Caenorhabditis elegans: one gene and its partner. The protein of the gene in region 2 interacts with the protein of the main gene of each other region in a biochemical or structural test. Each region holds a gene or a part of one and is shown on either strand. Other genes may lie near its edges. The genes, in order: ksr-1 and mek-2.

What was found.
Region 1: the proteins of mek-2 (region 2) and ksr-1 form a complex in vitro, tested with the Caenorhabditis elegans proteins (one study listed by BioGRID).

What each region holds. Positions count from the first base shown.
Region 1 is NC_003284.9:8,273,015-8,278,316, reverse strand, and holds the start of ksr-1 (Kinase suppressor of Ras A), read right to left. Parts: upstream 3,149-5,302; 5' UTR 3,099-3,148; coding exon 2,993-3,098; intron 2,951-2,992; coding exon 2,880-2,950; intron 2,239-2,879; coding exon 2,062-2,238; intron 908-2,061; coding exon 817-907; intron 1-816. UniProt on the Caenorhabditis elegans protein: Serine/threonine-protein kinase which positively regulates Ras-mediated signaling probably acting at the level of let-60/ras or/and lin-45/raf. Involved in sex myoblast migration.
Region 2 is NC_003279.8:3,010,402-3,015,288, forward strand, and holds the start of mek-2 (Dual specificity mitogen-activated protein kinase kinase mek-2), read right to left. Parts: upstream 3,048-4,887; 5' UTR 3,045-3,047; coding exon 2,958-3,044; intron 2,897-2,957; coding exon 2,717-2,896; intron 2,662-2,716; coding exon 2,443-2,661; intron 1,265-2,442; exon of another isoform or gene 1,207-1,264; coding exon of another isoform or gene 1,088-1,206; intron 1,028-1,087; coding exon of another isoform or gene 289-1,027; exon of another isoform or gene 283-288; intron 218-282; exon of another isoform or gene 92-217; intron 1-91. Other genes in the region: col-48 (Nematode cuticle collagen N-terminal domain-containing protein), read left to right, coding at 289-1,027, 1,088-1,206. UniProt on the Caenorhabditis elegans protein: Functions in the let-60 Ras signaling pathway; acts downstream of lin-45 raf kinase, but before the sur-1/mpk-1 gene product in controlling vulval cell differentiation. Required for progression of developing oocytes through the pachytene stage.

The DNA of each region.
Region 1 (5,302 bases), on a different chromosome or scaffold from region 2:
AATTCCATAAACATTTTGTGAAAAGGTTTCATTCTAAGAACAAATTATTTTCACAACATTTTTTCGAAGTAGATGAACCATAGAGAACATTTGAAAGATGTGCGGTATTTCTATGTCAAATTTGCTGGTTCAATGTGTATCATTACACTACATTTTAAAAATTTTAATTTGAATAAAAGAATAAGGTTGATTTTTTAATTCTCAGGCTGCTTAAAGTATTAATTCTAAAATTAACAAATAAACCGAAAACGACGTTTGAAGGCGGACTCCGATCTGCGGGGGAAGTTTTTCAAAACCATTCCTATGGTACAAAAATAATCAAATATACCATAATAAAATTATTCCAAAAACTTTGGAAAGTTTTTTTTATTTAAAATCAAAAAGCTCAATACTAAATGGTCACCAGTTTTTGCGGAAGTCCTCCATCATAAAATTTTCCATTTTTTATTTCAATTACATTCAAAATATTCAAATTTTAAAATGTATGGGGTTTGAACATTTGACAGTGATTTAAATTTTCAAGAAGTGGAGCAAACTCAGTATAAAATATGCTTCAAAATTGTTTTAATAAAAACCGTCTTGTTTTTTTTTAATTTTGCAGTTACCATCTCGGGATTGATTAAAGTTAAATTTTAAAGTTTGATTAAAAAATGTCAAATTACTGGTTTTGAGACTATAAATTTTTATGAAAATAACTAGAAAAGTAAGGAATTTTGAGAACATTTTCAAAAAATAACAGTTGCAAAATTTTCGTGGCAAGAATTATTTTCTTCTACATTTTACTTAATACAAATTTTCAAATTGCCGCACACTTACCGTTCCAGTGATTTTGTAAAATCACTGTAGATTGAAGCAACTTTCGTTTGGTCTCCACATCAAGACGACCACGATCCGCAAGCGATCGCAACTGAAATAAACTTTTATGTTTGGGTTCAAATGTTCAGAAGGCGGAGCACAGAGAAACTCGGTTAAAAGTAATGAAACGAGCAATAGAAGTTTGATAACATGCAGACAAGAGTGAAAACAACTCGTAGAAATGTAACAGGTGTTGTTGGAACACGAATGACGTTACCGAGTATACGGAGGCAATGCAAAAAAACAAAAACGTGTATGCTTTGGATCGCTAAAAACAATGAATGTTCCAGAAATGCTTCAGCATAGTTGTTCTCACAAAAAACATTCATTCAAAATCAACTCTAATATTTTGGCCAATTATCATATGAAAGGCCACTTGAAGTTTTCAAGTTTTGTTTCGAATTCAAATTTAACAATTGATTTGTTCAATGTTGTTGTAAATTAAATGGTAAAGTTATCTTAAAAAATTTGACAAATCAAGTTTTAAAAAAATCTTCAATGAAAAAAAGGAAATTTTTAAATCTGAAAAATTACCAAACTAGTTGATTTGTCAGATAAAAGTAAGACAAATTTCATTTCGAAAAACACTTCCTGCTGCAAAATGACTAAATGAAAAGTCGAAACTCAAATTCAAACAATTACGAAATGAGATGATAAAAATCAGTCAGATACATGACTTATGCATGTGCTAGCTGAGAGAAAGTTCGTGAGTCTTAAAAAACAACAATGAGCAGAATATCAATAGGTAACAATTAACCTAATCCTCTTTTTCTGTTTACTCTTCTTTTTTTGGATAACAAATTAGCTCACAAAAATCAGGAAAAAAACGGAGAGAGCTGCAGTTTTCTGGCCTCTAGAGAAAGAGAAGAGTGGGAAAGGAAAGGAGAGAAATGCAGAAAGTAGAAGGTGAAAAGAAAGAAAGAAGAGACGGAAACAGAAACGGAAAAACGAGAGGGAAAGAGCGTCAAAGCGCACTCCCAAACACCCCAAACCAATGGGAAGCGTAGAGGGAAATGAAAAGAAGTTTAAGAATAAAACGATAATGTTGAAGGTTGTGACCCGAATCAGCAGAAAGACATTTAGAAGGATATAGATATGCCTAGAACCCGATTTGTGAGTGTTTGTATGTTTCTGTTAGGTGTAAAATCAGGAAATGATGTGTGAGAAAAGAGAGAAAAGGTAGAGCAAAAAAGAGAAGGATCAAACCTCTTGGTTAGTGATGCTGAACAGAGCATTGAAATCGGTGATCGAGCAAATCTCCAAGTGCCGAATGTTTTGTGCGCTGAGCCCGACAAATGTGAACCAAATGGCGTTGATCTCACGCTTCTCGCGATCAATCAAACCAATTTTTGTCATTTGATAAACGGCCGAGAATATTTTGCGCTGTAAATTGAGAATCATTGGAATTTAGTTGACGTCAATGAAAGATTTCAGACCATTTGTTTCAGGTTGTTTCACCTTTTCATCTGTCTCTGATATCTTGATTACTAAAATTCGTAGAAAAAAAGAGTTACATTCACTTAAAGTTTTTAAATCTATTTTTTAAAAGCTTTGATATTTTGATATTTTTTCATATTCAAAATATCATAAACTCACTAAATTTAAAACATTTGAAAATCAACATTTGTTTGAAAGTAAGTTTCAGTTTTTCAAATATAACGATTAGCGTTTCATGCACGAAGTTGTGCATCTAAATTTTTAATTTTTTAAATTTATTATCAAAATACCATTATAGAATTTAATTATACAAATAAACTTTACAGTATAAACGGAAAACGTCTAGAAAAACGTTTAGTACCACAGATTGGTTTACCACAAAGATCTAAAACAATTTGGACTGAGGTGTCAATATATGTATAGTGTATTTTATGAACAAAACTTTAAAGCATCTTAAAAATTTTTTCTGCTGAATGAAGACTAGTCTGTCTTGAATTCATTTATTTACAGTTTATAAAACAACGATGCTCACGAATAGGAGAAGTTTGAATTTTTACAAAAGTTGTTTTTTTTTCAAAAAAACTTACTTCTACACTTTTTGCATCTTCTTCGTATGATGAAGTCAAAAATCGATTGATAGTGGTAAGTTTCAAACATTCTGCAACTTCGAATTGTTTTTTTTTAAATTTTTTTTACTAACCCTTCAAATTATTTATAGCCTGTGTCTTTATATCCTGTGCGATTCCTGCACCAAACTGCGGTAGATTACTGTATCCCGCACGTGATGCAACTTGGGTTTGCATCATTCTGTGTATTGATATTATTGGTTAGTTTTTACCTTCTCCGGATCTTTTCCCTGAAATAAATCTTTCGTTGGTTGAGCACAACGTTCAAAAGGTTGCCAAGAAAAAACAGTGCTGGTTTTTGGTCAACTTTTGGAAATCCCCGGTGCAAACGGAGCACGCTGTGAGCTCACACGTGCGCCACACTCTTTTTTGCTTGGTTTCTCATTTTGTGTATGTGTGTGTGTCGTCGCAATTATCAAATGGCTCCCTGTGAGCTCATCCTTCGTTTATGTATGTGTGGTAGTGGGAGCAGGGCAATACGAATGTATTTGGTGCTTTAGAAAGGCGTTAAATGACTAGAAAAGCAAACGAGCAAGTAATATTGAAAAGTGCCGAGTTTTTTCTGTTAGTATGGTTTGCATTCGTACTGTAAGGGAGCAAGACAATTAGAGAAAATATGTGTATGCCCCACAGTACAGTCAGAAATTTCAATTCATGAGTTAGTAAAATCTACAATATTTTCTTCCTACAAATTCCATCACAATTGGATGTTTACAATTCAAAGTCAAATTGCGATGACCAATATAAGTATGCTTACAGTTTGTTTACTATTACAACATCATCTACTCAAAAAAGGTGTGTATTAACCTTCTAGAAAAGTCGAAATCGTCCGGAAAGTAAATTAAAAGCTTTCGGCGGCTTTCTGCCATCGAAATTGTGAAGGTTGCGTGGCGAACAATTATGAGACAGGTTATGTACATTACTCAATTTAGAAGTGACGAGAAGAAAAGAAGAATTGGTATTTTCGACCACATTTTCTTTTCCGGTGGTTAGATTAGACTTATTACATCACAATGTCCCGATTTTTTTCAATGGCATTCTACTTTTATTTTGGCTTCTTTTGTTTCTTTAATTAGAATACTGTTCCAAATCCAATAATTGTACTCTACCAATATTAAATGTGTTTTTTTATTGAGTAGAAATATTCAACTATTTCACTTAAAAAATCGATTATCCTTTATCATCACTCCTAAGTAATTATAGTTTATCAATTTGAGTTTTACATTTTCCTAGCTTTGCGTATTAAAACTACCACAAATACAAAAATTAGGAAGCTTAACTTTTCTTTCTTTTTTAATTTTTCGCTTTCACATGAAATACCGAACAACAGTATGGCGCTTAAAAATTAAGCAATGCCGACCGAAAAGAGTAGTTGTGAGAAAAAATTGCCATAAGGCTTTGGTCGGAAGTTAAAAGAAACGTTGCATTCAAATACTGTTCAATATATTGGAGAAAATAATGCTAGAATGCTGAGAGTTGTGGAAAGAGAAAGAGGAAGAAAGATCGGCGTGCAAGCAAACAAACTGTTTGAACGTGATGAAGAGAAAAGGGGAGAACGGTGTGGATTGACAGTAGGAATAGTAGGAAAGGACGCAAAAATGTCGGGAAGACGGGAGGATGGGGGGAATAGTGTATGAATAAGAGAGAGAGGAGACTGTATGTCTATGGGGTGAGAGAAAATGGTCCGCAATGAGAAGACCACAACAGGTGTTCAAAATGTTGCGTAATCAACTTAAGAGTAGGTCAAGATTCATACCAGGAATGCATTGAACAAGCTTTTAGTTCCTGGTTTGCTGGCAGATCACAACTAATTTAGTGTAACATCTCGGCAAAGTCAACATTAAAAATGTTGTTCCTGCTCGATGAAAATTTTGAAAGTAATTATGGGTAGTTTGTTGAACGTGCCAAAAACTATGGTAAAGTTAGCCAAAAATTAGGGTAAAATATAAGTACTGAAGTAATAGCAATTACGTTTTAAAAGACGACTAATGGACCAAAATGTTTAGACTGTGTTTTAAAAAGAGACTTCTCAAAAAATGCTGTTTAAAATGAAAACCGATTGTATTTAGCAGAAAAATTTAAAGTTTACAAATTTATACGCGTCGCAGCGGACAACAAACATTTTTTGTTGAACTATCACTATTCATTGATTTTAGTCCTTTATTACAAATTTTATGATAAAAGACGTGAATTTGGATGTGCATTGACAGGCAACCAATTTCGGTTTTTCGAATGGACATTTACTAAAATTCTCCTGTTTTCTCTATTAGTATTGTCTCAGTCTGTTTACATTTGGAAACCCATAGCTTGTTTATTTTTTAATTTTATGGAAAATTGTTATCAAACAAAAATGTACAGTATCTTTATCTACATACTTTTAATTG
Region 2 (4,887 bases):
CAACAACGGGCGGAGAAGATGAGGAAATCGAAAAAAAAAACGCAAGGGATGTTCACTGCGCGGGGCGCACGGAAATTGCGTGCGCAACGATGAGACGCAGCGCACACAGAAGTGCGCGACTTGCCGTTTCGTTCCACCACAGCGGCCGCATATAAGCACTCGGGGGCAACGGCAAATGACTGTGTAGGCTTCTTCTTCTTATTCTTTTGACACTTCTGACATTTTTCATTTCCCTTCTTCACCTTTGATTCTTTGTTCGAATATTCTAGAAAATTCATAGAATTTCAGATGGACGAGAAGAGCAAGGGATCGTTGCGAAGTGTGGCGTTCGTCGCCGTCACATTCTCCACAGTCGCAGTGACTGCTGTGCTTATCGCTTTCCCATTGGTATTCCACTATGTGCAGACCCTTCAAGCTTCCGTACAAGGAGAGGTTGAGTACTGCAAGTCCCGATCTCGGGATATGTGGCGTGAGATGGTCGAGGTTGCACCGGAAGGTGCTGATGATCCACTTGATGTTCTGCTCAGAGCTACACGTCAAGCTGATGCTCAATGCTGCACATGCCAACAGGGACCACCAGGACCAGATGGAGAGCCAGGAACTCCTGGAAAAGACGGAGAACCAGGTCAAGGACCAGGAGAGCCAGGACCACCAGGACCTGATGCCGAGCTTCATGATCGAATTCTCCCGGTTCCACCACAATGCCCATGCACTGCTGCTCCAGGACTTGGAGGACCACCAGGACCACCAGGACAAGATGGAATTCCAGGTAACCCGGGAAGAAACGGAGAGGATGGAGCTCCAGGACCACAAGGACCATCCGGACCACCGGGACCACCTGGGCAACCAGGACAGCCTGGACAACGCGGACCACCAGGAGAGCCTGGAGCACTTCTTCCAGGAGGAGACGCTCCACCAGGCCCATCCGGACCACCAGGACGGCCAGGAGCACCAGGACAGCCAGGAAAGGCCGGATCTCCAGGACAAGACGGAAGCAACGGAGACGCCGGAGTTGCTGGAGAGCCAGGTAAATTATCATGATAAGCTAGGCTTCTTCTTCTTCTTCTAAACGTTAAATTTGTTTCAGGACAACGCGGACCACCAGGACCACCAGGACAAGCCGGAACTCCAGGATCGCCAGGAGACGCCGGATCTCCAGGATCGTGCGAGCACTGCCCACCAGCACGTCTTGCTCCAGGATATTAGAAGCTTATGCGAGTCTGTCTGTACATTTTCGAATAAACTATATTATTTTTTCAATCGATATGTCGTAGTTGTCCATTTAATAAAAAAAAGGGTGAAGAGGCTTGTGAAGCACGGTGAGCTCAGGTATCGCCAGGAACCTCTGGAAAGAGAACTAGGTCAAGAACCAGGAGAGCACCGTGAGCTTCTGTTGGAGGTATTGGGGGAGCACAGGAGAGCCTGGAGTGCTTCTTCCAGAAGGAGACACTCCAGCAAACCCAACTAGGCCATCAAGACGGACAGGAGGCTCACGGCATCCTGGAAAGGGCAGATCTCCAGGACAAGACGGAAGAAGTTGAGACGTCGGAGCACGTGGTGCCAGGCTGCCCCGTTTTGGTTTGATCTACCGAGATCTACAAAAAATGCGGGAGTCGAGACGAAGAATTTTCAGCTGACGTCACATTTTTTGGGGAAAAAATTGCCGCATTTTTTGTAGGTCAAACCGTAATGGGACAGCGGACAGACACCACGTACGGAGTTGCTGGAGAGCAGGGTGAGCCAAAGATTTCGTTTAAAAATCCAGAATGACGAGCTTTTTATTGGACGATCTTCTGAATATGTTCAGCCAGGAACCTCTGGAAAGACGGACTTCCAGGTGCTGGGAAGAAGGACGGAGCTTCAGGATCACAAGGATCATCCGGACCATCGGCAGAGCCTGGAGCACTTCTCCCAGGAGGAGGGCAAGCCGAATACCAGGATTGTGCGAGCACTGCCCACCAGCGAGCTCAGGGACCGCCAGGAACCATAGAAAAGTCGGAGAATCAGGTGATCCAGGATCACCAGGACGAGCTTCGTGATTGAACTCTCCCGATTCCGCCATAATGCCCGTGAGCTTCTGGACCACAGGAGAGCCTGGAGAACTTCTTCCAGAAGGAAACGCTCCAGCAAGCCCACCAGGACATCCGGGAAAGAGCAGATCTCCAGGACAAGACGGAAGCAATTGAGACGCCGGAGTTCGATCTTCTGAACAGGATCCGCCAGGAACCTCTGGAAAGACGGAATTCCAGGTACCGGGAAGAAGGTCGGAGCTTCAGGATCACAAGGATCATTCGGACCATCGGCAGAGCCAGGTACTCCGAGTAGAAGCTTGGTCAGATCGACAATGCGGATCACAAGGACAAGCCGAATCCGAGAATCCTGCGAGAACTGTCCACCATATCATTTTCCAACATACCCGCACATTTTCCAATAAACTATTACCTTTTTCAAAACTATATCAAGTGAAAGCCCATCCATATACTCCATACAAATTGATATATCGTTATTGTCCACAAAAGCCCCGTAGAATCCAACAATGAATGGACTATTGCACTTGTGAAGTACGGCGAGCTCTTTGACGATCTGTTGTCGGACTGACGGCTTGATCTCGAGGTGTACAAGCTTCCGAGCCATAATTACACCGGTTTTTCGATGAACACACTGAAAAATTGAACTTTTTATTTCCAAATTCCAGCTTATTTCAGCAAATTCCAACCTTATTAACAACTCCTCCATTTCCATGGCCAAGTTCTCCTTCAGTCTGTAGCATATCCTCACTCAACTCCTTGATGCCCTCCTTGACCTGCAAGAATTCGCTGAGCCGTTGAGTTTGTGGCTCCGTGAGCCCGAGCTTTTTCAGCTGTTCTTCTAGTGGGACTGTCGCGGTGGCTTCTTCCTGGAAATTTATATTTTTTAAATTCAATATTTAAAAATTAAAAATAATTTTAAATTATTACCGCCGTCGCCTCGCCACTTTCACTTTGTTCATTTACTGTCGGTGGTAGACTGAGTCCCAACGGATTACGCCGTTTTCCGCTCGACATTATCTGGAAAATAGTTGGATTTTATTTTAATCGAGAGGTTTTTTTTAGAAAAAAAACGAGGAAAATTCCAAGAAAACTTATGAAAAACTGGGGAAAATGGGAAAATTTAGCGATTTTTGGAGTCTAATTCAGAAAATACTCAGAACTATTTAATTTTCTAAAAATTAGTCAGGAAATATTAAAAATATTTAGTTTCTTTGGTAATTTTAACTGAAAGCAGAGTTTTTTTTCAGAAATCAAAGGTGGAGTACCGAAATTTGAGACTTTGTTTTTTTAGACGCAAGTTGGTCCAAAACTACCGAATTTCGTAATGAAACATTCTGAAAATTTCTCAAAAAAAAGTTATGACGGTCCAAAGTTCGGCAAAATAAGGCCAACTTTCAGCTAAAATCAAAATTTTTTCCAACTTCTCGGTGTCGCAACGTCTGGAACCTAATTTTTATTTATTCATCACTTTTTAATAAATATTGTGGTCTTTGATTGGGCGTTTATTCGTTGTTTTAAGCATATTTCTGGCCTTTGGGGCACAAATAAAAGTTACATTTTGTGCCCACTGACCATAAATGTACTTAAAACAACGAATAAAAGCCTAATAAAAGACCGCAATATTTATTAAAAAGTGATAAATAAATAAAAATTGGGTTCCAGACGTTGGGCCTTAATTTTGTGGGCCTTAATTTGCCGAACTTTGAACCGCCATAACTTTTTTTTGAGAAATTTTCGAAACGTTTCATTACGAAATTCGGTAGTTTTGGACCAATTTGGGTCTAAAAAAGCAAAGATTCGAATTTCGGTACTTCACCTTTAAAGAGGGTTTTCACTTAAATATACTCAGAATGACCTAAAATTACATATTTTTAAAAAATTCCAAAACTGTTTTTTGGCGTGTTTTTGAAGCAAAAATTGCTAAAATCCTACATTTTGTCAACTTTTCCTTGTCGCAGTGTTTTTTCAATGCTTGAGACCATTTTTGGGTGGCAAAAAGCCAAAAATTCTAAAAAAATGAAGATAATTCAATGAAAACTGGATTTTTAGCCGCTGATTTTAGCAAATTTTGGTTTTTTTTTTTCGAATTTTGATTCGCCATACACATTTTGGAATTTTTTCGAGCTATTTCGAGCCAATTTGAGTGAAAACCTATACAATTATAAATTTCCACGTGATTTTAGCCGTCTGAAAAAAGGGAAAATAAAAAAAATTTCGCGATTAATTTCTTCCGAAACAACTAGTTTTCTCTGAAATCGAGGCAAAAACGTGATGAATTGATTGATGAATATAACCTGTCGTGAAGTGGCGATTTTTGAGAACAGGTGAAAAAAAAGCACGGCTCTCTAGCTTATTGACTGCTTTTCCGGACTGCGAGAGCTCGGTCAAGCGAGAAGAAAAGAGAAGAAGGCGATGAGAGATGCGGGGAGCCGCTGCTGGAGCAAGAAAAAAGAGAGCAGAAAAAGCGCCTAAATAATTAAAAATTTAATCGAAATTGAGGAGGAGAGGAAATTTGAGAGGGGGATGACGGCTCTTTTGTTGCTTTTTTCTTCGAGAAAATGTGATTTTTATTGAGATTTCAGTGGATCCGTGCCAAAAACGGGGATTTTTGACCTGCTAATCGGATAATATAAGTCTCGATGAGAGGAATTATATAGAAAACGGGGATTTCTACGTAGAAGAAGGGACTTTCTCCACGATTGGTGCTTCTTTTGATGAAAAAAATGGAAAAATACCATTTTTCTGCAAATTTTTCATTTCAGAACAATACTGCCTGATTTATTCGATTTATTTCAGCTTTTTTGTCGAAAAAACAGAGATGAGAAGAGATAAAGAGCAAACAATTCCAAGACGCATC